3 linked regions of the Arabidopsis thaliana genome follow. The protein of the gene in region 2 interacts with the protein of the main gene of each other region in a pairwise test. Each region holds a gene or a part of one and is shown on either strand. Other genes may lie near its edges.

Region 1 (10,674 bases), about 11 Mb from region 2:
AAGAAGGATATATACTATTTAACTCGTGGAGATGATGAGGTTCGGATATTTTTCCTTAAGACCACAAGACACTGACACGCCGACTGATCGATAAAAAAAGTTAAGGCCTACAATACAAAAGAGTAGCAGATTCCCTTACACGTGTTTCATTTATGATCTGTTAATTAACTCCATTGAGCTTCAATATCTCATTAGCCGAAAATTAACTTGACGTTTTCCATTGAACTGTCGAAAAAATTTGTAGAAAAAGTGAAATGTCCCCTATTTAACTTCCAAGTTTAAAACCTAAAATTAATTAGTTACCGTTTTGATGAATAACGTTGAAAGAATCGTCAACATATCAAATGATGCAGATACAACAAGGGACAAAAACATCAAAAAATTGATTAAAAATAATCATTCAGATATTAGCAATTAAACTGTAAGTAAATGATTGCATATATATATATGAATGAATACATATATATGTATCAAACTGTAAGTAAATAATACATACATATATATATATATATATAGGAAAATATCTCATTTTTCAATCATTTTCAGAGGTAAACATTTTTAAAGACAATTTTACCTAACCCAACATCTTACTATATTTAACCAGCTCTGCGAGAGCTTCAAAACAATGATGAATTTTCTGCCCCTTTTCATTGACCAAATAAAAGTTCACAAATTTGTAAAACCAATCAGCATTAATTTCGCACGTAGTTTACTTCGTCCGATTTTAGATCAAGTAGACATTTTAACCAAACATATTGAATCACGGTTCAATCAAGATACATGGTTGCGAGTATAATATATCAATCCTTCACCGCATTAGAAAACCAAATTTTCTATTTAATTTAGCGTGTTCTTTTAATGAACGCAGCGTCAGCGACAACAAAGAAGAAAAACAGATCTGCGGCGAGAAAAAATACATTGATTAGAGAAGAACTGCCGCAAAAGATGTACGATGATGAAGATTGACGTGACGCTGCTTAATTTCAGCGATTCATTTGATGCAATTGCAATTCATCGGCTATCATCGGCGACTCATCCGAAATTGTTATTTTCAAGCTTTAATGTCGTTTTACTTACCTACTACTTCTCATGACACGTCGTTTCAGTCCGCTATTGCCGCTGGCGCAGCATCAAATAAAAGAACACGCTAGGATAGCTTGAAAAGGGTACAATAACTAGTTATAGAAGAACATGAGCCATAACATTTGGAAACAAAATGAGTTAGTTTGAATTTGAAACATCGCGCTCTATGTAAAAAAAGCAAAAAAGAAAAGAAAAGAGTCCTAATAATTAAAAAGAGAAAATAAAAGGAATTTTCAATGGTCCGACTGTTACAAGTAGATTTCCATTTTTAGGAATCTAGCTATAACGATGAAGACAGAGTTATCATTTTGTTCCATCAAATATATGACGATATTTATATTTAATTTCTTCAACAACAAATATCTCATTTGTTGGTGCCACTTTCACATACTTAGGACGACTAATAATTAATTAAAAAGGATTTATGTAATAACGCACCATATTAACCTGTAACAAGAAGAATTGAAAGTAATACAAGTTTATATATATAGCAACACATTTATCGTGTACGATACTTTATTCCTTTTATCTATTCTTGAAAAAAAGTTACCAATTCTTGAGAAGAAGAAGAAATCAGAATCAAGAGAAGGAGAGAGAAAGATGGGAAGAGGGAGAGTGGAGATGAAGAGGATAGAGAACAAGATTAATAGACAAGTGACCTTCTCAAAAAGAAGAAACGGTTTGCTGAAGAAAGCTTATGAGCTTTCTGTTCTTTGCGATGCCGAAGTTGCTCTCATCATCTTCTCAAGCCGTGGCAAGCTCTACGAGTTTGGTAGTGTTGGGTATATATATCTTTGCTCCTTTGAACCAACTTTTGTGCTATATATATTAAGATTCATCCAATAAAGCTATGTTTTTTATATGAAAATTGATTAATAAATGGGTTCATTTGCTACTTGTTACATCGTACGATTCAAGAGTCGGATCATGTTTTGATCTTGTGGTTATTCTTAATGGTTGTATCGTTTATCCTGTGGTAATTAGGGTTCATCGTTATATCGTGTCTCCCTCTTGGATCCTTTATCATAAGCTAATAGGTCCTTCCGTACGTTATAATTTGTTGATTTCCCATTCATGAATTCCTTTGATTCTTTAATCTTACAGATGACAGGTTTCAAATGGGTTTAATTCTAGCTTTAAAAAAAAAAAAAACAAACAAACTAGGGTTTTCCCTTTTAGATCAGTGTGTAAGATATATAACTTGAGTTCTTGTCGTAAGAAGAATCTTTATTTGTTGAATCGAGCTAATGATCTCCCATTTTTGTTTTAATTGAATTTGTAGAATTGAAAGCACAATCGAACGGTATAATCGTTGTTACAACTGCTCTCTAAGCAATAATAAGCCTGAAGAGACTACACAGGCAAGTGTGTGTACGTACTTTGAATATATTTACAATTATTGTTTCTGATGATAATGATTCTAGCTAACTCTATTTTCTCAAATTCTCATGTTACTATATATATGCATTTCATATAATCTATATGGTGCAGAGTTGGTGTCAGGAGGTGACAAAGCTTAAATCCAAATACGAATCTCTTGTTCGTACTAACAGGTCTAGTAATTAAGAGTTTTCTATAACCCCTTGAAATTAAATCGTTATTGTCATCTTCCATTATATATGTATAGTTACAAATCTATTGTTATGGGTGTTGATAATTGCTAATTATAAAAGGAATTTGCTTGGAGAAGATCTTGGAGAAATGGGTGTGAAGGAACTGCAAGCGCTCGAGAGGCAGCTCGAAGCCGCTCTTACCGCGACTCGACAGCGCAAGGTCACATGATCTAGACTGGTCTTGTTTCATTAAAAATATATTCATAACTAAAACATTCAACTAAAATATGCAGACACAAGTTATGATGGAAGAAATGGAAGACCTTAGGAAAAAGGCAAGTTATATAAAAATGTTTCATACCAAACTGCAAAACATATATGCATATCAATCAATCTATGTTTGAAATGGCAGGAGAGGCAACTAGGAGACATAAACAAACAACTCAAGATTAAGGTTTTTATTTCTAGACATCGCAAAATTATATTATAACTTCTCATATAATTAATTATGACATTTGGATCTTAACTAAACATAAATTTTCAATAGTTTGAAACGGAAGGCCATGCTTTCAAAACCTTTCAAGACTTATGGGCAAACTCGGCGGCATCGGTGGCCGGGGATCCAAACAATTCTGAATTTCCGGTAGAGCCTTCTCATCCTAATGTATTGGATTGCAACACCGAACCCTTTTTACAAATAGGGTAAGAATATACCATTTTTCCCGGCCCTTACAAATAAATGGATAGAAATAAGATATGATTATAAGACTTGTTTGGTATTTGGATTAGGTTTCAACAACATTACTACGTGCAAGGTGAAGGGTCTTCGGTATCAAAGAGTAACGTGGCAGGTGAGACTAATTTCGTCCAAGGTTGGGTTCTTTGACTCTCTGTTGATTAGACCACGATGCCACGGTCAGGCCAATTTCAGCTCTCTACAGTTGTTCTTTTTTCAAATTAGATTTCTGGGTTTTTTTTTCCTATAAGAAAAACTTTTGCACTAGATGTTTGTCATTTAATTTCCAGCTCGTGTGAATCTATATTCGCATGTATGTGCTTTGAAGAATTTCTCCTCTTACTCCTACTTGATCTAAAACATTATTTTTGTTTTGGTTTTACCAACATTTTCCAAATGAAATAAACTTTAATAATTGTTCTAAAATCAATTAAATGAATAGATTTATTTGGCATGAATACTATTAAATCTCAGACATATATTTATGAATGCTGAATTGTGAATAGTAGGAACAAATAATAAATCGTGCGACGTCGAATCAATTGGGTGACGAATAATCAAAGGAGGATTCAGCTCAACTACGCAAGTAGGAGTAATGAACTTCCGAAACAATTGGGTGAGTAAATGAAATCAACCTGTAACTAAAAAAATGAACGAATAATAAAATGCCACGTAGTTGACCTTGGAAAAAGCGCAATGATATGAAGCCAGGTAGGACCCACATTGCTGTTTCTTGATTTGACTTTTGGAAGAGAAGAGCTCCTCTTTCTTTAGCAAACTTTACTGTTGTTGATATATGTCTTTTCCATAAAGTCTTCATATTTATTGAGGTTTTTTTTTTTTTTTTACATACTAGAATTTAAGTTTTTAATACTCTCTTATATTTATGGGCTGTTATCGCAAAGTAGGCCCTTTTATAAGTGGGCCATTACAAAATAAATTCATGGGCCCATATAAATGTTAACGGCACATGTCATATCACAATCATGTATCTCTATTATCTAAAGATTCTAAACGATTTGAAATATTGGATTATGCGTATAATGTTTTTTTTTTCTTTGATGGGCTAAAAGCCTCTACAACATTTGGATTTATGCCCTAAATCTCCTCTCCCGGTGATCTTTTGAACTTGCTTGGGGGGGACGCAACTTCTTCCAAGACAGTCACACATGCTACTAGACCGATCTTTGTATTGTAGAGTTGCCACCGTTGTCGTGTATCAGCTCTTCATCTGAAATGATGCAGTTATTGATTTTTGGCCAATGGATAATGTTTAATGTGCTCTCATAATTTTCTTTATATTTTTTTACCAGTTTGGGAAGTTCTAGACCTCTAGTCTCTCGACTTGAGAAACCAGTAAGTTATATAGTACAGATATTCCTGATTTTATGATTTTGAGGGAAGAAAGCTAAATTGATACATGAAAACAAAACATAATCAAAATTACATTCTAGAGAGGCAAGTGTAAGAACATAGATACATAACACAAGCAGTTCAGAATCATTAAAGAAGTGACTGAGAGAGAGAGAGTGAGAGAGAAATAAGACAACAAGAGAGAAGCAGCTTTAGAGTTTTGTTACTTGTCCTTATACACTCTCAGTACTGCTAAACCTGTTTTTACTTAGTTTGTTTTTTTGTTTTTTTTGTTGAGTGGAGATCACTTTCTTGAAGAACAAGGTAACCCAATGAACAATTGCGTCTCTACTTCAGAACTTGGGCTACTCTCTTCATCACCTCTTCCAGTACTTTCTTGATTCTTATTTGACCAAACTTCGCTTTCATGAGATCCCCACTGCATTCAAATAGAATTATTACACAAAATTAATAGATGCAAATTAGAAGATATATAGAACAATACATAAATTAAAGAAGGTTGATGATTGAAGATAACCAAGAAAAACTAGTAAGGACTCTCCTAACCTAATAACCCCCAAAAAGAACCCCAACTTTCTTATCTTTACCGAATAAAAAAACGAATGTGCAACCCTAACTTGAGACCCATAAGAATATATTATACCTTTTCAGAGAGCTTCTCGTTTTCTGCAGCTAGAGCTTTCTCCTGCAAAAGTTTTAGATTCCAATTTGTAAAAAGCAAGCACAAGAGGCTTACTTACTTGGAATATTACACAATTTGCATACATACTTATATCTGTTTATATACACTCATAAAAACTACTTTACCTTTTGCTTGAGCTGCTCAATTTGTTCCTTAAACACTTGAGTCTAAAAGAGATGAGAAATTGAGTTATAATTATGAGTGGTTTCAGAAGATGATTCGAACAATACTTATAATGTGGAGATATAACAGATAAATATATACACATACCTTTCTTGCTCGAATACATTTGACACTTTTCTCAAGCTGTTGCTCAATCTGTTGCAGCTCCTCGATTGAGCATGTTCCTATGCCTTCTCCCAAGAGTTTACTGATTACAAAAACAAAACACTAATTGATCAAACTCTCCTATGCATCATGAAATAGATATATACAAGTGATGAATAATGTGTTTGTATATATGTATATATCACAAACCGTTTAGAAGCTTCGAGTTGTTCAATTTTCTTCATCATGTTTGCTGCTTCATATTTCAAATGCTGTTGGTTATATCACAGAAATGTTATTGCATGTACATATATATCCTAATTATAAATATGTGACTTGATCCTGTGACCTTGAGATTATATACATATTGTGGTTATATTCATTACCGCTCTTTGATATTATATAGTAAAAGTATTAATTAGCAAGAATTGATATATAGGCAAGAAGATCATAAAGAATAAACCTGCATATTTTCTTCAGAAACCGGTTTGGTGCTGACTCGATCCTTAGTATGCCTCAGATAACGATCTATGGTATCTTGCATACTGTCAAAAACATATATAATTGGAACATTAAAGTAAATCATCAGAGATCAAATTTAGATCCCAATGGTGTTCTCAAAACATTTCTTATTGAAGATATCACTAGACTTAATCAAGGACATAGCTTGAAAAGTCTTGTACTTTTTCCCCCTATTTTAGAAAATCAAAAACATGTGAGGTCTTATCTTTATATTTAGTAGGTTCGAGAGAAAGAAGTACTTTCCCAAATGGACCAAATGTCTGAAACATCTGATCAAAAGCTGGCATTTTCATTTACAGAAGTAATGATTCATCAAAAGTAAGTTTGGTTTCCCTACTACCTAACAGTACAAGATAAAACTCTTTTGATTCTCAAAAACAATCAACATTTAGGTTTGGCTAGCTAGCTTTGAGTTTCTATGTCAAAATCAGGAACAAATATTCAAACAAATTGAACTAAATTAGGAATGAGCATGAAATGAAGCATGAGGGATTAATAAATCAGGAATGATGAAACAACTTCCTAATCATCACTTAGAAATTAGAACAACATGTTTTGCTTAAAGCAATAACAAGACAAAGATTAGTTCAAACCAAAAGAATACTAATTGAAAGTTGTTTTATTAATACTATGTGATCATGATCTCTAAGAAGATCAAATATATAACAAGTGTAAATTGGCTACGAAAGAGCACATTTTATTTATATCATAACTTGAGAAACTAATTGAGAAAGAGAGAGACAGATGATTAAACAAGATGATATACTAGCGGAAATAAAAAAACAATAAATAAGAGGGTATATGTACTTGATACTACTTTAATAATAGCCCTAATTTTGCAGAAACCAAGAAACTCATTTAAACACACCTCTCAAAGCAAACGTCAAAGAGATGTGATTCCACAAAAGGCCAATCAAATCCATATATAAACCAAAAAAAATTAAGATACAAATAGAGAGGTTAATGAGATCTCTCTCTCTCTCTCTTTCTATGGATGATTTGTAAGAAAGACAAAAAGAACGTACTTGGAGCTGGCGAATTCATAAAGTTTGCCTTTAGGAGAGAAGATGATAAGAGAAACTTCAGCATCACAAAGCACTGAGAGCTCAAAGGCTTTCTTCAACAAACCATTCCTTCTTTTGGAGAAAGTCACTTGTCTGCTTGTTGCATTCTCTATTCTCTTCATCTGAGTTTTGCCCCTCACCATATCTTCTTCTTTAGTTAATTTCCCTTGCACACAGAAAAAAAATAAAATTATTTTTTCAAAAATTGAAGAAAACGGTAGATCAATGGTGCAACCACCTCAATAACAAGATTAGTCACACACATAAAACAACCCATTTCATATATGAATCAAAGAGAGTAGGTTAAAAAAATGAAGATATGATCGAAATATGACTTTTTTGTTTGGGTGGGAGAAGACTGATGAAGTCAACGAAAGATTAAGTACCCAAAAAGCAAAACAATCTAAAGTATCTGATCTATAAGTCTGTAATGGAAACTTTTGTTATCGGTTTAATTGAAGGATGCAACCTCCTTTCATGAGATTTAGGACAAAGAAACCAAACACATCAAATCGAACCAAATGAAACCAAACCCATATAAGTTTATAGATCCATCAGAGTACAAAGCAAAAGAAAAAAGAAAAGATCATGACGAAGAGATCTTACCGATTGGCTAAAAGGGTTTGATAAAAACCTAACCAGGAGGAAGCTTTCGAGGATAAAGGGTTTGTGTATGTATAGGTAGAGATATAGGAGGAGACTATATAAGCATTACTGGAGGGAGAAGAAGAAAGAAAGAGAAGGAAGAAGATGATCAAAGTTGATTCTCTGCGAAAGGAAGAACCTTTTTATGGAAGTAGCAAAAGAAGTAGCTTTCCTCGTTTCATCTATTTGTGTGTAATAAAAGAAACAAAAGACAAAAAAACTTCACACACTCGTCTCTTCTCTCTCTGCTTTTCTCCTTAAAAAAGATCCTCTTCTCGTTGTAGTTATGGTAATGGTGTTTGTGAAACCATATATATTTTCTTTTCTATTTTATTTCTTGGAGAAAGATAATAAAATAAGAGAAAGAAAGAGGGAGGAGCTAAATAGTCAGTCATATGTGTCGCAAATATGATGGACGCTTGAAACCTCATCCTTTACTTATTTTGGAAAAAAGCCTTAAGAAAGACCAAAAATAGCATATTTTGATACATATGGACATTTTTACATACACATCTTTTTCCCTCCCATAAATATCTAGTTGGATGGAAATGCCTGTCAAATTATTTTTATTAAATTTCTTCTAACAAAAATCTTTTTTTGTTTTTAATGTGGACACAAACACTCTCTCGTACCTATATGCCCCCACTTGTAATTGATATGAAAAATAAGAATATCGTTTTTTCTTACCTGTGAGTAATACAACTATATTGGTTTTAATCAATTTTTATAATATCTTTCCATCCCAACAGATAAAATTCATTTGATTTGTATATTTTCTATGCTTGTTTGTCCATTGTTTCTTATTGTTGTTCTTAAATTGTGTTTTTAGTTATATGACATAATCTTACATCTCCATGTGAATAATTAATTACTTGCAATTGTAAGTTTTTATAAGTTGGACAAAACCACATTACAAAATACTACAATTTCCTCATTACCTAAGTGACCATTAATCCAAATATTTGGAGGCTAGTACAGAGACAATGGGGCAATGGCGTTAAGTAGCGACGTGTCTAAAGAGGCATTTGCTATTTTTGGTCCCTCGGATTACTAAAGAAAACGTAACTTAGAAATCCAATAATAATTCAGCTTATCGAACGTCTTGTCTAGCTAGTGGCACCAAAAAAATATCCTTTTTTGGAGATAAAATTGTTAATCGATATCTAATGATCTTTTATCTATATCGGGAGGAGGACCACACAAACTAATTATTTCGAAAAATACACATCTTCTCTGGTGAAATATGTTAACGTATTTATATATATTAAATATCAAACAGATAGGTCCGAAAATCTGTATGGATAATTTTTATATAAATACACATCTTCTCTGGTGAATTGTCTCTATCTTTATATTTTCGTGTTTGTATAAAGTATAAACCCGGTTTGAAGTTTAGTTATGTATTTTGTAGACCCAATTCAGATTTAAAGAAACATCATCGTATACCACTAGTAAATACGATCACTTCTTAACTGGTTGAGACAAATCCAAAACAAAAAGTATCTAACGTAACTGAACCAACTATACATTACTTAAAGGATTCGTCCTATAGATTAAAACAATCGTGTTAGTAATGTGTCACATCGAAAGTAAGATAGAACCAGGCTATGCTTCAGGTTTTTGTTCACTGCGATTAATTTTAGATATGATTGACCACTACAATTATTTTTAAGTGGTAGTAATATCCGATTTTTTTTGTACATAATCATATAAACTAATCTAATTTTCGCTTCGAGATCCCAAAGTATAATTTTTTTAAAAATATGACTATATGAGAGATACGTAGAGTTCTAGTCTACACTATATGAGAGATACGTATGCGTTTAGTCACAAGTTTCTTTGTTGCCATTAGATTAGAAAAACCTTGTATAAGTAAGTACATGTCTGTCTAGCAGTCTAGGAATGATGTGAATTTGCATTTAAAAGATGTATGGTTAGTAACTTCCAACATGGTGATATGGAAATCTCATGAGTTTACCAGTCATAAGCTCATGCAAAATCATAACATATAAAGTGTATTTTAGATAAATCAAAATTTCACAATGATTAAACACCAATGTGTTTGTAAAATTAGTTTGGGGTTAATGTACAAGAATTAGAGAAATAAGGGTGGGAAAAAAGAGTACAATATTAGAAATACATCAACGTCGTCCGTACAGTCACGTACAAACGTTAGCCAATGATAATTCGAAAACGCACCTCTTACTTTTTCTCATCAATCGAAAAATCCCGAGACAATAATAATATATTTATTATTTTATTAATTACAAAGATAAATCGTGCTCCACACTTTAGTCTTCATGGGACCCTCACAAAAATTGCCATATCTCCAAATAATAAAATTCTACAATATAGCTATTATATGGTCCTACTTTTCTTACCTCTTATAACCTCTTTACTTCCTCTTTTAGGTTAAATCTATTTTTCGCTCCTTTTGTTTTCATTTTCCTCATATGTATATGCCTATTATATTCACTTCTTTAGGTGTTTTTTTTTTCTTCTTTTAATTCATATCTTTGTATCATTATCTTATCACCATCTACTTAATGCTAGCGTATATAATCACTAATTCACTATATTTTGAATCTACATGCTAATTGATATCTACTTGTTTGTTACTGATTTTTAAAAAATATATAAAACATGTTTGTAATTTGTGAATGCACCTAAAGAAACTTAGAAAAGGACAGATTCCTTTGTTATCCAGAAACCTACTCCTTTTGTTTTCTACTGTTTCTACCAATTTTG
Region 2 (9,085 bases):
TTACTCGAATTTGTTTCGCCTTCGTTTCTTCGATTCTTTGAACAAATAATAGATATCAACCCAAGTAAAAATCTATCTATTTAGAGTATATTACATGGTAGTACTGGTTATACATCCGAAGACTCTTTACTCTTACACCCAAAAGAGACCACACCAAACCAAAACAAAGTCATCATCCATTTACAGAGACAACAAAAAACCTTATTCTTCATATTCACACACAGTTCCATCTTCTTCTCCTCCTCCTCAGTGATCAAGCAGCGGAAGCTTTCATGGCCTTCTTCTTACCAACTGAAGATTTGATAGACTTAGGCTGTCTCGCCTTCTTCACTTTCCTCTTCTTTTCTTGTTTGTTCACAGACACAGTCTTCTTAGGCCTTGTCGAAGAAGACCTAGTCCTCTTTGTGATCTCTTTATCTTCTTGCTTCATATTCTTCTTATTCTTCTTGTCCTGCTGCCTCGTTATCATCTTGGTGGTATCTGAGAGCTTGTAAGAGGCTCTGATCTTCACGAGCTTACCTTTAGCAACAGAGTTTTTAAGCTGTAGAGAAAGTGTTTTACGGAAACTCTCTGGAAGTAAAGACTTGTGTTTCTCCTCTATCTTCTTAGCTATAGCATAAGGGCTTGATCCGTTCTTCTCTTTCAGGACCATCAAAGCCTCTTTTATCATCTTCATCAAAAACCAAAACGAAAAAACTAAGTTTAATAGATAGGAACTCAAAAGAAAAAGTTAGAACCTCACCTGAAAGTATGGAGGATGAGTGGTGGTTTTCGGTTTTCGCGGCTTCTTCGCCGCCGGAGTCTTCTTTAAGATCTTGTCTTCTGCCATTAGAGGATTAGTGAAAGTGTTGCTTTGCTTGTCTTGTCTCTATCTGTTAAATTTTTTCGTGCTAGCTTATTTATAGCGCAGGGAAGTGTATTCGTGTGTTTTCTGTATTCGTTATGGTTTTTGTCAGAGGATCGATTACGTGTGCATTAATAAATCATGAGCGTACACGTGTCGTTTAAGTAATGGCTGGATTCCATGTGTTTATCCGAGAAACACACTTGGTGGCGGTGATCGTCCTTTACTCTTACTAGGCATTTTGTGAACGAGTGTGTTTTCTACTGAAACACAAAATAAGTTCTTATTCTTAATAACGTAGACGCAGTTATTAGGCCAAATAATTGGTTAAATTTGGTTTAATGAAAAAATTGATGGGAGAAAGTTTAAACCAGAGCTTTGTTCGTCATCTTATTTGATTTTTAAAATTGTTAGCTCACAAAAATTGCGATATGTGTCAAATTTACTAATACAATATTTTTTTTGGTCGGTATTTACTAATACGATATTTACATGTGTTTCAAATTTTATTACATTTAAAAACAAAAATAGAAAAAAATCCTTAACCCTATCAAAAAAAAAATATATACATAAAACAATTGTTTATATATTCAATTTTTTATATTTAATATATTAAACTAAACTCATTCTATTAATAATTGTTGATCTATTCAAAACATAAATAAAATTCCCCATTTTGTTCTTAAAAAGAAGTGTTTTAATATTTTTAAATATTGTAACTTAAATATGTTTATCTTTTTATTTTCTTAATTTTGTTTTATTTTCTTCTTCTCAGTTATATCGTTCTATTTATTTACCACATTTACCGAGAGGCTTTGCTTGGTCCAACTTTTTCTTTAGTTTTTAACAATATGGTTTTAGAAAAGGTAAGATTGAAATTTGGTTTTAGAAAATATATATTAAATAAAATATATATAGATTATCATTTGAAAAATTTATTAAAACAAAAATTTATTTATTTTTCACATCTACCTATTTAGAGAGGTTTTATCTAGTAAAGTTATTAACCGTTCGCAAATTTTGTGTTACGACATATATAAACAATTTATGAAAAATTGCAAGACTAAATTAATTACGGAGTTAATGTTTCAAGGTGTTATTCATTATAATTGAAAAATGAGTAAGTATTGAACCCAAATACAACTATGTTATTATTGTATCATCGTTTTTTTCTTTTTGGAGTATAACATGTAGAGTAAGCTACAATTTCAATAAATAAGTTGAAAAGAAAAAAATCATAGATTTTTAAAACTAAGCTAAAACTCTATTTTGGTATAGGAGGAGTTGCACCCACAATTCTTGAGCATTGTTCCTTTAGCATCGGAGGGAAAAACAGAATGAATGGAATTTTCGGCATGGAATTGACTTCAGCGTCCAACAATGCTTTACAACAAGATGGACCTAAATTGCCGAATTTTCCAGTGAAAATAGATTGAGAAACCTCTACAATGCATCCAGGAATATCCATCACGGATGACCAACATTTTGTTATGTCAGGTAATCCTGACATACCAGGAATCGGTTCGAATAGAAATGAAAAAGGAAATGGAGCCGGAAACTGAGGCATCTAAGCATTTACAGAAACGATGATGCATAGAACCGCTAGGAGTGAAAGCATATTTTTTATAGACATAATGAGAAATTGAGTAAAAAGAACCTTAGTATAGCCAAATATATGCTGAAGGTTATATTTGCTTTTGATTGATGAACAACAATAAGACTTTTGATTATTTATATGGAATGAAATGTGAAACTATGACATTAATTATCTTACTTTAACATCTTTGGATGCTTTAATTAGAAATTTCAATAGTTGTTTTATAAGTATAAATAGAGTTGAAACTCCAAGAAAACAAGTAACATTAACTTGGAAATATTGACTACAAAGAGCAATAAAAGTGTAACCGGCTTCACATAATTAATCAGTTACCAGTATATATCTCAAAATTTAAACCAATAAACCGATTTATTCGAATTTTCTAGAGAAAATTATTTGAATCCTTAAATCCCATACAATGGAGTTCTGCATGACTTGTTTAAAATAAAAACCTGTTTAGATTAATTGCTAAATGGCTCTAACCTTAAATGTTGTTAAGAAAAGTCAAAAACCTAGACATCCCGCTCAGAACCTACTAAACTGGTTTAAACATTGAATTACGCCTAACAGTAAACGATTTCTCAAATATTAAGAGTGGAGACGAGAGCCAAAGACTATCAAGAGTTTAAGAGCAAAATGACAACACACAAGATGCCAGAATGTTGCAGTAAGACCATGACAAAGATACTGAAATGTGATTATACAAGTCACTGTCTACGACAGGGAGTGCTTATGAAGCCTTTAAGAAGAAATGAGATAGCTTGTCTGATTTTATCATATGTTTGAGTTGTATCAAATTCGTAGACAGATTCAGAATCAAAACCACAATAACAATAACCTTGAATTAAATTCTTCTTATTCTTCTTCTTCTATGTTCTTCTGGTCAAGAAGAGAAGGGAAACGAAGCAGGCACCTTCAATACATTTTCTATCAGATCAGATAAGGTCAAGCTGTTCTCTTAATGATGTGGACTCCACTGTCTGTATCGACAATGTCGCTTATATCTCCAACCTTGAGCGCGTAAGTTGCTTCCTCAAATGGTTTCTGCATTTGACCTCTACCAAAGGAACCTGAACAGGGATGGACAAATCAACATAAGATTTATGAGCACAAATTATAGATTCATCAAGAAAGAAACTCTATGTGGGAGATGATCTACGAAGATGTTAGTAAACTTGATGAGCACCAATTATAAATCATCACGAGGAAAACATGGGTAGTGATCTAAGTGGACATTAGTAAGATTTATGAGCACCGATTATGGATTCATCAAGGAATACACTTTAGATTATAAACATAGTTATGCTCTAAGCAAACAGTAGTAAGATTTACGAGCACCAACTAAAGATACATCAAGGAATAAACTTTAGTTTCTAATCATCGATGTTGATCTAAGTGGACAATAGTAAGACTTGTGAGCACCGATATAGATTCATCAAGGAAGATAAACTTTAGACTCTCAACATCGGTGATTATCTAAACAGACATTAGTGAGATTAACGAGAGCCAAGAATAGATTTATTAAGGAATATGAAGAAGCTAAACATTAATGATGATAGAAGCTAGAGATTAGTAAAATTTCTGAGCACCAACTAAAGATTTATCAAGCTAGAAACTATAGATTCTAAACATTAGTGATGACTATAAACACATCGAGGAAGAACTGTGAGATTCTAAACATCACTAATGATCTAAGCTATGATCATTATGCTCAATTTCACTGTAAAGAGTTAGATCCAATAGAATCCAGTTAACAAGCTTTCTACTCCTTCAACAAACATCACTTGAGACTATACAGATTAACTTCATTTCCTAAAATCTTAATTGCCACTAGATCTAACCCTAAGTTCAATCATCCTAAACCTAAACTCGCTGATCTAGAGATTAGGGATAAGAACAAACCAAGATCACCGCCGCGTTTAGCAGAGCTACAGTCAGAAACACGAGTCGCCACTTCTTCGAAATTCGCCTTGCCGGAGACAATATCTTCACGGATCGATTTAAGCTGCTCAACGGCGGCTTCTCTAGTGGTAGTCAGAATAATCTTCCCTTCTGGATCCTTCCACGACGCTTTCCTCCGAGAACCTTGATGCTTAATCAAAATGTGCGATGCCTTAACTTGGTCTCTCGACGCCATCTTGCTCTTCTTTCGATGCTTGTTGTGATGATGGTCTTTCTTCTCCTTCGATGTTCGATCTGTGGAGGAGACCGAATCGTTCTTTCGCTTCCGATCTGAATCTATCTTCGTTGATTTTGGGAAAAGTGTTTTTGCGGCTCTGCTTCACTATTTTTGCTTTACCCTAATGATTATCGACGATTGAAACTGTGAGACGAAATCACCACAGATATTTTGGTATCTACGAAATCGCCCCAGATCTTTCAGCAGATTCAAAATGCTCCCGGATCTTTCGGTATATTCGAAACCACCACGGATCGCCCAGTATATGATGAAACCGCCTCGGATCTTTCGGTATTTATGAAATAACCCTGGAACTTTTGATTTTTTAAAAATCACACCCAAACTTACAATATTTACTATAAAAATCCCAAATCGTTATTATTGACAAATCACCCCAGAACTTTCTTTGTATTTGCGAAAATACCAACTGATGATACTAAGATGTAAAGGATTCATAAAAAGCATATTCTATGTGAGAGATTGGCAATCAAAGTATATCATATATATATATATATATATATATATATATATATATATATATATATAATATCAATGAATTGGTAATCAATACCATAATGATACAATGAAAGTCTAACTGAATCTTCTTACAAGAAAACAAAAAGCATATACTATTTGAGAGATCTTAAAAGAAACAAGACAAAACGCTGAACAATCACCACTCAAGGGGCAAGAGTAAGACATAAACATTGTTGTGACCAAATTCCTGGCCAAAAGAATGAACCAAAACTTACATCTGAGACTAAGCAATCAAATCCAAGAACGCGAAGATCTCACAAGGCTTATATATTAGATGTCTCTCAAGACGGGCCAACCTTTTCTAATGATCTCATTAACTCTAGAGTCGATATGTTTCTGGATTCTAGGCGGGCAGAGCTCGGCTGCGTAACCGTTTAGTTTTGTGGCTAGAGCTGATCTCTCAAGCTCTTCTTCTACCATGTTTCCAATTAGCTGAATAAGAAATGGATGTTGTTTCAGCTCGAACTTCTGCAAATACAGAAATTCAAGAGAAGATTGATTTTCTTAATCGTTTATCCTCTAATAAACAGCCGTGATATGAATGGAAGATGCAGAGAGACTTAAAGCTGAACCTGGTGATCAGGCTCTGCGCGATAAAACGTTCCTAGCTGTTGAATTTGAGTGGTCACGATACTGCTTCTTGTATTAAGTTGCTCCCTTTCTTTGCTGGTAGAAGCCAGTCTCAATTCTTCTGTAGAATTAGTGAAAATACAGGATCTGTTCAAAAAGATTCCCATGTTTTAGATTTGGTCCAAACAAACAAACTCAAAGATAAGCATCAGCTATTTACTTGCTCTTTTACCTGTATTGATTACCCACATCAGGACCTTGTCCAAACACTTGTCTAGAATCATGACTAGACCAAAATACATCTAAGAGCTGACGATAACCAATTATCCTTGGATCATATTCAACCTGAAGACAATTACAGAGCAAGAGCAACACAAATCTTTAAGCTCCTCAAACACTAAGTCAGATGAACAAAGACAATTTAGTTTAACTTCAATCAGACAATCACATATACACTAAGATCACACATAACCAAATTTCAACAAAACAACCTAATCAGCTAATGAATGATGATATTCACATAAAGCATTCTCCAATTTTATTATCCAAACGAAATCTGTTAAGTAGAGCAAATCAAATCGAACAACATAGGCACTGATCAAATCAAATCATATCAGCTAAACATCGAATAAACGAAGTAAACATTGGCTCAATCCTCAAAATTGAAACAATAAAACCAACCTGTACGGACTCGGCGTGATCACCTAAGTTCCTATACTCCGGATTCGTCTTCGTTCCACCGGCGTAACCGGCGGAGGTTCGTACGACGCCATTGATACAACCAAACGCCGCCTCCGATCTCCAGAAGCTTCCAAGAGCGAAAACCGCAGATTTCAAAGGACGATCGGGAGAATCAACGACAGTATCCGAGATCTGATTCGAAATCCTGATGGATACAGTTTTATCGAGCAGAGAGACACACAAGAAGAAGAAGAAGACGAGATTCGTATAAGGAATGAAGAAACGGTTCCTCTTCAGTGATATAGCCATTACACAGTTTTCGTCTAGCTGCTGTTTCGAACCAGGGAACGAAACTCCATATGAACGAACAACCTGTAGTCGATTGAGTCGAGTCGCTCAAAAAGTCACGCCATGGCTCCACCTCCATTAAACTCTGTCTTTGAGAGTTGAGACCCTCTGATTCATTTAGAGGGTTCGCTGCATGATTATTGAAAAAGAAGTGATTTAGATTACTTTATTTCGGCTAACAATTAAGGCATGATTCCTTTTGGTAGGAGCGAGGTACCAATATCGCGACTCGAACCGTGGTGAGACTCTCTCATCATGCTGAGTCTCAACCGCTTTTACCAGTTAGCAATTGGTGACCATATTTCTACTTAGTTGATACTTAAAGACGTTTTAAACATATAACCAAATACTCGGTTTGATACGGTTCGTTTAAATATTAAAATTATTCGGTCGAGAACAATAATCAAAACTTGCGATGATAACTTTTTACAATTTGCAATAATACTTTAAACTTTTCGAGAGAGAAGACAAAGATTATCATAAAAATGTTTACAATTTGAGAACAAGGTCCAAACGGATATATATACATATAAAAGAGAAGCAAATGTTTTTTTTTAATTTATTTATTGTTTAACAACCCTAGTGGCGGCTGAAGCAGCAGCTTGACCTCTCCTCCTAGCAGCAATAAGACCTTCTGTCCGAACCTACGCACCTCTGCGACTGAGAGTTTGTGACATATGTGGTGATGGAAGAGAAAATTTGACATGAGGGATAAGCACGGTTCTGTTCTTATGCTTACCAACCCAGGGAAACTAATTTGAAGTCAAGGAGAGAAATAGATAAGTTGAGTGATCTGAGGCAAGAGCCGTCTTGTGTTATTGATGATATGTTGTTTTCTGTTAATCTTCATGACTCAAGAGAGTATTATCCAATAATGGTGTATGTATGATCCAATTATCCAAAGGAGGCGCATTGAAAACCCTTGTGGGTTTTTCAAGGTTTTCCGGCTAACGTGCTTCCCAAGGTGTCTAAAATGGTGAATTTTGTTGGATTTTGAGCCTTTGATCAAACTTGCAATAAGTGTGATGAAGATGAGAACCAAAGCAACAGAAGAAAAGAGAAGAAGCGTCGGAGATGAGACTCGTGAAGAGAGGAGTCAACGACAAGAGAGAAGTCACGATACTGCTTCTTGTATTAAGTTGCTCCCTTTCTTTGCTGGTAGAAGCCAGTCTCAACTCTTCTGTACAGTTAGTGAAAATACAGGATCTGTTCAACATATATTCAAATGTTATAGATTTGGGCCAAACAAACAAACTCAAAGATAACCAAACAGCTCTTTTACCTGTATTGGTTACCCACATCAGGACCTTGTCCAAACACTTGTCTAGAATCATGACTAGAGCAGAATACATCTAAGAGCCGACGATAACCAATTATCCTTGGACCATATTCAACCTGGAAGACAATTATAGAGCAAGAGCAACACAAATCTAGCTATTGGATCAGATACTAAAACCAATTCCTCAAAGTCTCAAACGCTAAAAATTGATGGACAAAGACAATTTAGGTAAATCTCAATCACATAAACACAAATATTACACATTACCAAAACTCAGCTAATCAACTATAGAATCAGACTTGTATTACGCACATAAATGTCTTTGAGTCCTCTGTGTCATTTTGAAGGTTTGCTGCAAGATTCGTTTTTAAGATTCCTTGTAATTTTTTTTTAGGTACTTCAGATTGCTTCAATTCGACTAACACCAAAGACTTGATTCTTTGTGATAGCAATGCGGCGGGCTGCTGTTTCGATGAAAATCTGCAATTCAACTACCACTTTAACGATCACGAGAATTGGTTACGTTGTTCTTACATAATTTTCATATGTACAAAATGAAAACTTTGCGTATTGAGAGTATGCAATGTGAATAACATAAGCTTTTCGAGAAGAGAGAAAGGTTTATCATAAAAATCTTTTAGGATTTCAGAATGAGGTTCAAAAGGAAACACAGACAACAAAACTTGAAACATAGAAAACAAGAGAAACAAAGTTTATCTCTTTTAACTCTAGTCTGCCTTGGCAGCTGAAGCAGCAGCTTGACCTCTGAGACGACCAGTCCTCCTTGCAGCAATAAGACCAACCTTCTGTCCAGGAGGTGCATCACGCCTAACAGTACTGGCGTGACCAATGTGCTGATGGTTACCTCCTCCATGAGGATGCTCCACTGGATTCATAGCCACACCACGAACCTTAGGCCATGAGTTCCTCTTCACACGGTACTTGTGGTACGCGTTTCCTGCCTTGAGCATCGGCTTCTCAGTTCTTCCACCTCCAGCAACTTGTCCAATCATAGCCCTGCATCCACTTGGGACAATCTTCTTCGAACCC
Region 3 (10,728 bases), on a different chromosome or scaffold from region 2:
GATTTCTTTGCTATCTGCAAGTATTTGACCTGCATCACCCAATTCATTAGCGTTAATGATCGAAGAGGACGGTTAATGGCAATGCAAGAATCGGCATATTACTTACCTGAAGTTTAGAAACATTGTACATAGGTATCGTGAACGTCATGCTGACTGGCCCTGCTTCCTTTGTGATATTACCTACAACGAATTGAGAATTATCAGTAATGCTTTATTTTCCCCTGAGAGAACAAACATTACAAACTTTTGTCTTAGAGGGTAACCATGAAATTCCTGTGAAAATGTAAGCTTTGCACGCAGTGTATGCTCACCCCCGCCAACAATCTGGAATGCCACAGTTAGCTCATGGAAGCAACATACAGTTCAATATATACCTAAACTAGCAAACCACGTGAGAGATTTAACACTTGCCTTTTTTAAATTCCATTCAAGCATTTTGTTGGATTCCTTGAAATCTGTCCTCTGTCCAGCAGCACCGGGTTCTAACTCAAAACTAGCCCTGTCACAATAAACATAATCGTTGATTCTATTTCTTGTGTGATTCAGAATTCGGTATATCACTATAGCTGGAATTTAAATAAATTCATCGTATTCTCTTCCTCATGTACAATATCTCAGTGATGCACTTGTACAAACCAATCAAAAAGTTATGTACCTGGAAGTATAATTTGGCAATGGCATCTGAACAGTGATTGTGTTTGCAATTATGTCTGAAGGGAACTCAGCGCGTATTTTAATAATCACTTCAGCCTAAATTTCAGCAAACAGAAAAATATTTATAGAGCAATTAAGAAATATACGCAGTTTTTATCTGACTCAGAAGACATGTACGCATGAAATTTCACCTTAAGACGTCCAGCCTCTTCAATCAAGGTATTAACATGAAAAGGAGGCTTGAACTCCTGAGTCATACGGTAATTCATTACTGGAAATTCACCATCTGGTGGAACCTGAAAACAGAACGCAAGTTAAAGACTAATACAACATGCTATTACAAGATGTTTTCTGTACTAAATATTTTGACGCTCACCAGGGACAAAGTTCTATCTGAATCGAAGCTATCCAGACGAACAGACTCATGAAAGTTACAATCATCAAGTATCACCCCTGAACCTGAAGAACTCCTATAATCTGCAACATTTCAAGTGTGATGTTACCAAGGGTTAGATTGTATTAATAGATCAATCCCCAGTTGATACTGATGTGCCTCAAAGATGCAGAAAAAATGCTACAAGAGTAACTACATATATTTACGAATTGGGTTATGACTTATGAGGGAAGTTTGTAAGTGGAACATACAGCTTAGTTGACATTTAAGCATTGTCAACGCCAAATGTCACAGAAAGAGACACCAAGATTTCAAAGAGTGAGACAAGATAGAATATGACGTTGATTCCTTCCAAATATAATAAAGATGATTTAAAGGGGTGAAACAAGAAATACCATATACTGATCTCCCTCCTCTTCCTATGTTTAGGTCTTCATTAAGAGCTAAACGGATTTCTGGATTACCAGAAAGATAGCTCTTCATTTGAATGGTGCCATCAATCTCAGAAGTCAGTATATATCCCTGTTCAGAAATCAGAAAAATAATGGATATTTTCCATGAAGAAAACTAACATTAAGATGCAACTACATGTATTAGGACATAATACAAAGCATTGATCCGCAGAAATGGGTGGTTTGATATGGCAAGAAGAGAACATGCCAAGACTTCTGTACTTTTGATATAATAAACTAGAAGCAAGTAACTACTCACGCTTGAACTAAAAGTAACACTGATTTTCTCGATGATGTCCACAAAAATTTCCTCTCTTCTCCGACCCCCAGGATCATTAGCCACAACCGATTTTGTAACTGCAGTTCCAGGCATTCTTTTGGCTCCTTGCTGCATAGCATAAATTAAAGGGGTCAGTCACATATACCAGGAGGAGGAAAATGAAAAGCAATCTTACTGTGAAAATGGCAGCAGGATCAATAGGCTGAAGGCGGGCAGGAGAAACCACAATCGGCTCATTGAATATATAAGATTTCAAAACTTCGGTAGATGTAGTTTGCACGTAACCAAAATCCTAATCAAAAGAGCACAGAGTCTTATTTAATAAAAAAAAATCAAAACTGGGAAAATAAACAAATATAGCTACTATATAGATATAAACATGCTAACAATGAGAACTACATCAAGACGAGACTTACAATAACTTCATCAAGCAACTCATACACGAGCACAAAGTTTTTCCTGAATGAATCTTCATTCAGAACACCAAGATAATCCTTAATAACACGAGCAATCCTTTGTAGAAGCTCCAAAACAAGAGAGGGTGACACGTTAACTCTCGTTGTCGCAACAAAATATAGACCAACAACCTTGACATGGAAGTAGTTCACGCCATCGACATTCTATAAGCACAAAAAATAAGTTAGATGAAATCATTACAGCTCACAACCAAACAGAAAGTATAATACCTACAAAGATAGGTGGCGCCTCTGCATTGCCATCCTCCTTCCAGAACTTGACTTTACGGAAGAATGTCTCTGTACTTCCTTTGGGTACCTCAGCCCGGTCTGTAGCAATAAAACGTTACACATCTTGAAACTTGTATTGGATCCAACCAAATCGTATAATCTCAAAACAAATAGCTTTCTTCTACTACATTACATACAGATACTCTGCCCAAACTAATTGAATAGTTTTGCTATATTTGTACAATCTGATTTGGAAATTCAGCTCAACATAATTTGTCATCGGATAAGAAATGTTGGTAGATCAAACAGATCAATGAGCTTAGAGAAGATTTCAATGGAAAATTCTCATGAAACAGTGACATAAGACTCGACTCTGAAGAGAAAAAGCAAAACAGGAAGAAGCAGAGAGGATCAGATCGAGAAAGAGAGCTTACAGTCACGGAAGACGATGTTATCTCCTCGCTGAGATAAGACGAAGAATTGGGAGATCATCATCGTTCCTTATAGCGGTGGATTCCGACTGTTTCACCGCGAGTTTGGTTAAGTCTACTGATCGCCGATCGGTCTCGTCTTTTTGTGTGTCTGGTGGTGAGGTGGTTCACGTTTTACCATTTGCCGTCGTTATCGTGAAGCTTCTTCATGAGACGGAGGGTTCTGTGTTTTTGTGAATTATGATTTCTTGTTCTTATATGGGCCTATTTTTAAGACATCAATATGGCCCAAATTTCGAACTTGTTATGAGTTTAAGGAAATAAGTAGTAAGTACTATAAATGATGGTTCGATCTCGGAGGAGAAAAAAAAAAACATTGTTTACGAGGAAGCAAAATGTGAGTTGATATAAAGGGTACAACACATAATTTATTTTTGGAAGTCAAAACTTTGAGGATTAAGCTGACAACGAAGGTTAGTGAAGACTTTCGGGATCGAGCAATCGGGAGATATACATGAGCCTAGAGGGCTGACAAGATGACCAAGCATTCCAAATGAAAGGCTTAAGATTTTTCTTTTTCTAAACTCAAGTAAGAAACACAAGATATATGAAAGGGTAACAAGGGTCAACAACAAGTCTAAGCTTTTTAAACGTGTTAGATGATTCTTCTTGAACACTATTACAATTACTGTTTAGTTTCACATTTATATGACCTTGGGAGTCTTCTAGCTCGTCCCAAATATATTTTCAACATATTACTATAAGATCCTAAAGACCAATAACATTGATCTACACCAAAAACTCTCACTTTCTGATTTTGCACTCGCTTTTTTTCCTCCCATAAACAAAACCAAAGGCTTACAATACTAAATCTGTCTCACATTCTTAGTGCTTATTTGTTTTAGTCATAAAGAACTTAATCTTATACAGATTGAAGTCTTAAAGTCATCTATATTACTTTTCACATGTATCATTATGAGATGGTACGTTTCCCACGAATTTTATCAGTTTAGTTTAATTTTCAGTTGTACTTTGGGAGAAAAAATTTACAAGATACTTGTCGGCCATGATATCACCCTAGAGTTACCGGAGTCCGGTGATATATCATTTCTAATTAGGGTTAAAACTTAAAAGGGTATAAATGGCTGATCAAACCCAAAAATAAAAGATAATGATGACGGTGGGAGACGAGTGATCTTATCAGGTGTCGCATCTAGCATATATAGGTGAAAGACTATAAAAAAGACATGAAATATTTAATAGACACAACTTTTGTAATAAACCAAAACCAAAAAGGTAGATGAACTGATGAACAGCATCTTCTAATTACGAATAAAAAAAGTAACCAAACTTTCTTTCCATTAGAATTGGTACGTAGTTCCTTGTGTATTGTGATTTCTTTCATTTTCCAATTATGTTTTTTTATTTTATCATGTTACATTTTTGATAGTGGGTAACTTTTGTATCATTTTATTTGACCTAGCCATATATAAATCTATTAACTTATACGGAGTAGTATTTCACGTCATTTATTTTTATTTTGTTTTTAGATGGGAAGTTATTCAAAACTAGACTAAAACAGTAAAACTAGGAAACCCGCTACTGAATAAAGTTACAATTCCACATTATTCCATGACAGACTAATTGAATTAGAAGGTTAGGTAAATTATTAAATCATAACTGTAGCAGTCTCTTCGTCTGGCAGCTCAGTCAGACAAAACACAAAGTGTGTTTATGTGTTATTTTTAATGATTATAGTTTGGGAAAAAGACATAATCAAAAGGGATACAAAACATATGGCCCATTGATAAGTATAGATCACTGTTTAGCTAAAAAAAGCAGACTCTTTTTTCCAATCTTGAACACAAACACAGTCACCATCTCTCTCTCTCTTTCTCTCTCACTCACACATTAGGGAGTAAACAGCTACCAGAAAAACCTTTTTTATCTTCTCACAAATTTAATAAAGTGGGTGCTGAGATTGAATAACGTAATCCAAGATCCTCCAACTCACAGAAAGGTAAAAGCTGTGAATCTGTGTTCTTTCTTCTTAAGCAAAGTGTTTGATGAATTCATCTAGTCCTGTCCATTCTTTTGCTTCTCATGGTTTATGGATCTGATCTCTCTTTCTCTCTCTCTCTAGCCATTAGGGTTTCCTAAGAATATTATATAAACTCTCTTTAGCTAACACCGTTCCAATTGGTTTCTTTCTTTGTTCTTGGTCTAAAATCTAAATGGTGTTATGGGTATAGGCAGATTCAAGAACAGTAGTGAAGGAGAGATCTGGTAAAATGGCGAGAGAGAAGATAAGGATAAAGAAGATTGATAACATAACAGCGAGACAAGTTACTTTCTCAAAGAGAAGAAGAGGAATCTTCAAGAAAGCCGATGAACTTTCAGTTCTTTGCGATGCTGATGTTGCTCTCATCATCTTCTCTGCCACCGGAAAGCTCTTCGAGTTCTCCAGCTCAAGGTATATTCTATCTTTTTGTTAGTAGTTGTCTTATTTTTTTCAATCCATGTTTGTGTTTTTGAGAATATGGTTGGATAAATATATTAAGATATGTATTTAAATGAGATTTTTATTTTCTCGTTTACTCTCTAAAGTTAATTATCAGTAGGCTCGGAGATCTCATGTACGGCATAATTTGATGACCTAAATTATTATACTTTAAAGTATAGGATTGATGTTTTATTACTTTTATGTATAACACATCATGTATTTAATTCCGTTTAACATAATATGGGTTTTTAACGTGTAATTTTTCAATCATTTTCATTTAGACTCATGGTTAAGATTTCTGTACTGGGAAATAAGAGAGCAGAATATTATAGTGTGATTTTTGTTAATTAGGAAAGCATATGTATATATGGATACATAGTACTTACCACAATTAGAATGAATTTCTTTTCCCTTTTTTCATTTGACTTTGTGTATTACAAAAGTCTTTGACACTGTCACTTGGTATGATTGGGGATTAATTCTTAACCACTCGTTTAGTTTATCTTGGGAAGCATTACCATAATTGGGAAACGAGTCATCTGTCTGTATCGTGATGGCTACTTCTGATTACTTTTCTTTTATTATAACCAAAAAGGCTTCTAATGTACTTAATTAATTTTACAAATGTAATATGGACGAAGGAAATGTTTATAAGAAAGATGGATTGTTTGTTGAAACGTGTAGAATGAGAGACATATTGGGAAGGTATAGTCTTCATGCAAGTAACATCAACAAATTGATGGATCCACCTTCTACTCATCTCCGGGTATTTTCGATATCACTTACTCTTTTTTTTTTTTGTGGATTTTAAACTCTCTGCTCTTTTTACCAAACCCTTCTCTTTTTATCAAACCCTTCTCTCTATAATATTATCCGATGTTCACTTTGTTACACGTGTTTGTTATAATTTTTAGCTGTAAGTCTAAATATAGAAACATTGAGTGGCATATAATCATTAATCTTGAAGCATCTAATTAATTGGTTTTACATATTAATAGCAGAATCCTGAAACTGTTGACTTTGCATCTAGCAGCTTGAGAATTGTAACCTCTCCAGACTAAGTAAGGAAGTCGAAGACAAAACCAAGCAGCTACGGTATGGCTCCATTGATATGTTATGCAGATAAACCTATTTTCATATAGGCTATAGCTGTAAGAGATCATCTATTTCATGTGTGTGGTTTTTTTTTTTATGTTTTTTCAATGATGTGTGCATGCTATTTTTAGGTTTTAGAATCTATTTCATGGAAATTGAAGATATTTCATTTCACGTGTAAGTTCGTCAAGTTGTGGCGTGTGTCTTGGAAATTGATGTTTTGTTTGTAGATTTTAAGAGCTACTTCTAAAATTTACAAGAGTTTTGTAATTTTCAATTATGGCCCATTATTCTCATTAATTCATTAAAAAAATTATATACATTACTATCTATATCTAGCATAGGTAGTTTTTTTTTTCTTTTTCTTTGGTAGACCTACTGAACAAATATCTGATATATCACTGACTGGATAAATATCTATAGAGATATTTTTGATAGAAATGAGTGTTAATTTAACGTAAAACAGGAAACTGAGAGGAGAGGATCTTGATGGATTGAACTTAGAAGAGTTGCAGCGGCTGGAGAAACTACTTGAATCCGGACTTAGCCGTGTGTCTGAAAAGAAGGTTTACTACTATACATAAACTAATAGCATGCATATTTTCCTTAACGTGGCATATAAATAATAAGCTGTACATATATAAAAGTTTGACTTTGTTGTTGTTATTGGTAAATAGGGCGAGTGTGTGATGAGCCAAATTTTCTCACTTGAGAAACGGGTTAGTAGTTAGTACATACAATTCGTATAACTAATGGATCATAAGCCTATCTATAGCTAGTGACTTTCTTAATAAGTGAAACAGGGATCGGAATTGGTGGATGAGAATAAGAGACTGAGGGATAAAGTACGGCTCTAAACCCTTATAGATATCATGGAATAACCTTAATCTATTTTTTTATGTATAAGAAAATATGATGAGGGAACGTATATTATATATCGGCAGCTAGAGACGTTGGAAAGGGCAAAACTGACGACGCTTAAAGAGGCTTTGGAGACAGAGTCGGTGACCACAAATGTGTCAAGCTACGACAGTGGAACTCCCCTTGAGGATGACTCCGACACTTCCCTGAAGCTTGGGTATAATTTGTTTAACTGAACATATTTCAAACTTTTTGTTGACATTTTGTATGTGGATGTTTACTAACTGTTTGTTGGTTAGGCTTCCATCTTGGGAATGAATCTGAGAGAGAGAAAGATCCAGCAGAGTTGACTTCGATGGAAGCCCACAAATATTAAGTCTACCTTTTCCCTTTCTTTTCTTTGAATAAGTGTTGAAAAAGAATTGAGATGGGAAGGATGAATTCTCATTGCATTGCAGAGAAGCAAGTTTCAGATATTGTACGTGTTATTGGTCTTTATAACTATTTTGCACCAAAGGGATTCTTCACATCACGGACAAATAATAATTTTAACACTAATGAAACAAGTAAATATAGTGAAACGATAGGTTTTCTATAGTGATTCTTTACATTAACAACAATGAAACAATAAATATAATATTGGAGAGGGGTGTGAAAGAACAAATATGTTAATTAATTTCTACAAATGTTTTCACCTCCTTTCTCGATTCATATAAAACAAAGGTAAGTCTTTGTTCCTTACCTTCACTCTCTAGAAAAGATTTTTTTGGCCAAAAATATGTATTCACGCAATCAGCAGAACAAAAACCTCGGAAGATCACGTCCAACGAAGGACCTTTAGGCTTAGGGGTAACGTCATGTCTTCCACTTTTGAGCAACCTTGCAAACCATCAACGAAGTCTTTCATGTGCATTTTATTCAACAATGGAGTTTTGTAAGAAGGAACTATTGAAAAAACTAATGGAACTAAGGTGATCTAGATAGTGAACTTAGCTTTTCCCAAACTTTTCTTTATGCACTACAAAATTTCAATAAATTAAGTTTTTAGAAAAGGTTCTCAAGTGAAGTTAGAATTTTATAACTCAAACAATATTCATGTACGTGTCCACCGGTTTTCATGGTTAGATTTTGAGAAAGAGTGAGTCCAAACTTTTTAATAACGTTTTTGATTCCGTGTAAGAATGTGTGATTCTCCCTCCTCCTGAAACCCTAACCCAAGACAGGAGATCTTTCTAACACATTCTATACTAATTCACAAAAATCTTCCAAGTTCCGTCCGATGTGGGACAAACAATTCTAATATCCCCTCTCTAGTTACCGCTACGAGCCTACGACCATCATTCTTTGAGTCGAAGTTATACATATGAAATGGGAGGCGTGATTCACGGGTGAATCCTACATTTGAGAAATTAGAACCTATGATCTGTGACCATATTACAAGATTTGAATCTGAAAATAAATTTTATTCTTCCCAATATTTGTTTTTGCGAAAAAAAGAGATTATTTGGAATTGCTGACGTCACATCTCTCTCAGGAGATTCCCACCCGGAAGTATCAACTGTCGTCGTGTATCGGTTGTTTCCGTAGATCTCTGTTACCACTTTCCATCCAATTTCAACAAATTGGATTTGGCAAACTTTCGGATCAGAAACGTGCTCGGGATGAGGAGGTACACCGAGAAAGTTTGGTCTTTTATTCGTTCGTCGCTGAGTTTAGAATAAGGGATTGTCTTCATCGTACGACTCTGTTTTTGTTGAAAATCGAATGCTCCAAATGAAGCAGCCATTACAGAACCTTAATCAGTCGCAGAAGACAGCTTTAGCTGGTGTTTTCGTGCTCCTTTTCCCGATTCTCTATCCGAATCTCTTCAGCCCTCTTGGTCGCGCCTCTCCTTCTCTCTTCTCCGTCAGTCTCTCTCTCTCTATCTCCGATGATTTATTTGGAATTTCACATTTTGGGATTGTGAAGCTGAAGAATTAAGTTTGGCATTTGCAGGAATGGAATGCTCCAAGGCCTAGACATTTGAGCCTACTCCAAGGCGCTCTTGATCGACAAATTGTAAGTGGGTTTAGCTCAGTTTCTTGGATGTATCTACTACGTTCCTCTAAATCTTTTTCTTCTTCCTCGAACCAATGTGTAGTCGATCAGACAACAAGTTGAGTTATGGTCTCCCTTGGCAGATCAAGGTTGGAAGCCTTGCACTGAATCTTATAGAGGCGCTTGTAAGTTTCCAAATATAAAGCTTTCTTCCTTCTTTCATCGTTTACATTCATGTGCCCTGAAAAGTTTGTATTTTGATTGATGGGTTTGTCACTCTTTGCAGCCTTGCCAGAGAAGTCTGAAGGGTTTCTTCAGGTTTTCCTTGACGGCGGACTAAATCAACAAAGAATGGGAGTGAGTATAAGAATTTCAGTCAATTTTTATGGTGGTTTCCCTTCTGACTCTTCTTGTTCCTTTTGCAGATATGTGATGCTGTTGCTGTTGCCAAGATAATGAACGTTACACTCGTGATTCCACGCCTTGAAGTAAATACTGTTTGGCAAGATTCAAGGTAATCTACTTTGAAACTTGTAAGTTGTCTGGTGCCTGATGAATTTGGTGATTTATGATTTGGCATTTCTTTACAGTTCTTTCACAGATATATTTGATTTGGATCACTTTATAAGTGTCCTTAAAGACGAGGTGCGGATTGTTAGGGAGCTTCCAATACAGTATGCCTGGAGCACTCGTGATTATTACGCTACAGGTATTCGAGCTACTAGGATTAAGACTGCGCCTGTTCACGCTTCAGCAGAGTGGTATTTGGAAAATGTCTTACCTATTATCCAGAGGTTTGTGCTTTCTAAACCTGGTGATCTATCAGATGAATAACTGCATTTTAAAGTCCTGGAAAATACGATACTACATATGATCTGGAATGCTTTATAGACAATACTAAGGGAGTGTTCAATGTAGATGTTTTTCTGTCAAGTCACGTTTTTTTTTTGTGTCTATCTGAGGAACTATATATGTCTGTAGTTCAATGCATTGTTACTCATATGAATTATCCACTTCGTTATGCAGTTATGGCATTGCTGCTGTTGCTCCATTCTCTCACCGTTTGGCATTTGACAATTTGCCTGAAAGTATACAGCGGTTACGCTGTAAAGTAAATTTTGAAGCATTAAACTTTGTTCCTCATATTCGTGAGCTAGGGGACGCTCTTGTGCATCGACTCAGAAATCCTCCTTCCAGCTCTCAAACATCAGGAACTATGGATCCGACAGACAGAATAAACACCATTGTAAAAGCTGGTGCTGGAAAGTTTGCAGTGCTTCATCTTCGTTTCGATAAAGTGTGGTCTTAATTCTCAACAAATGTGCCCATTTCCTG

The links.
Region 1: the proteins of PIN1AT (region 2) and AGL20 interact in binary tests that used the Arabidopsis thaliana proteins (3 or more experiments, as listed by UniProt).
Region 3: the proteins of PIN1AT (region 2) and AGL24 interact in binary tests that used the Arabidopsis thaliana proteins (3 or more experiments, as listed by UniProt).

What each region holds. Positions count from the first base shown.
Region 1 is NC_003071.7:18,802,770-18,813,443, forward strand, and holds AGL20 (AGAMOUS-like 20), read right to left. Parts: upstream 8,357-10,674; 5' UTR 7,888-8,356; intron 7,448-7,887; 5' UTR 7,425-7,447; coding exon 7,243-7,424; intron 6,241-7,242; coding exon 6,159-6,240; intron 5,968-6,158; coding exon 5,906-5,967; intron 5,799-5,905; coding exon 5,699-5,798; intron 5,596-5,698; coding exon 5,554-5,595; coding exon of another isoform or gene 5,545-5,553; exon of another isoform or gene 5,432-5,544; coding exon 5,390-5,431; intron 5,165-5,389; coding exon 5,030-5,164; 3' UTR 4,736-5,029; downstream 1-4,735. Other genes in the region: AGL6 (AGAMOUS-like 6), read left to right, coding at 1,684-1,865, 2,366-2,444, 2,575-2,636, 2,757-2,856, 2,930-2,971, 3,049-3,090, 3,184-3,338, 3,426-3,522. UniProt on the Arabidopsis thaliana protein: Transcription activator active in flowering time control. May integrate signals from the photoperiod, vernalization and autonomous floral induction pathways. Can modulate class B and C homeotic genes expression.
Region 2 is NC_003071.7:7,837,839-7,846,923, reverse strand, and holds PIN1AT (peptidylprolyl cis/trans isomerase, NIMA-interacting 1), read right to left. Parts: upstream 4,985-9,085; 5' UTR 4,579-4,984; coding exon 4,344-4,578; intron 3,512-4,343; coding exon 3,387-3,511; 3' UTR 2,982-3,386; downstream 1-2,981. Other genes in the region: HIS1-3 (histone H1-3), read right to left, coding at 254-670, 743-829; MSRA5 (Peptide methionine sulfoxide reductase family protein), read right to left, coding at 5,428-5,625, 5,730-5,874, 5,960-6,072, 6,409-6,717; AT2G18025 (uncharacterized protein), read right to left, coding at 7,928-7,962, 8,039-8,108; EMB2296 (Ribosomal protein L2 family), read right to left, coding at 8,764-9,085. UniProt on the Arabidopsis thaliana protein: Prolyl cis/trans isomerase with specificity for phospho-Ser-Pro bonds.
Region 3 is NC_003075.7:12,668,106-12,678,833, reverse strand, and holds AGL24 (AGAMOUS-like 24), read left to right. Parts: upstream 1-4,727; 5' UTR 4,728-4,917; intron 4,918-5,149; 5' UTR 5,150-5,188; coding exon 5,189-5,370; intron 5,371-6,084; coding exon 6,085-6,166; intron 6,167-6,433; coding exon 6,434-6,495; intron 6,496-6,961; coding exon 6,962-7,061; intron 7,062-7,172; coding exon 7,173-7,214; intron 7,215-7,298; coding exon 7,299-7,340; intron 7,341-7,439; coding exon 7,440-7,573; intron 7,574-7,655; coding exon 7,656-7,674; 3' UTR 7,675-7,937; downstream 7,938-10,728. Other genes in the region: AT4G24550 (Clathrin adaptor complexes medium subunit family protein), read right to left, coding at 1-29, 107-180, 264-324, 412-499, 656-750, 846-950, 1,031-1,131, 1,444-1,570 and 5 more; AT4G24530 (O-fucosyltransferase family protein), read left to right, coding at 9,121-9,261, 9,352-9,414, 9,497-9,578, 9,680-9,750, 9,819-9,907, 9,984-10,187, 10,420-10,690. UniProt on the Arabidopsis thaliana protein: Transcription activator that mediates floral transition in response to vernalization. Promotes inflorescence fate in apical meristems. Acts in a dosage-dependent manner. Probably involved in the transduction of RLK-mediated signaling (e.g. IMK3 pathway).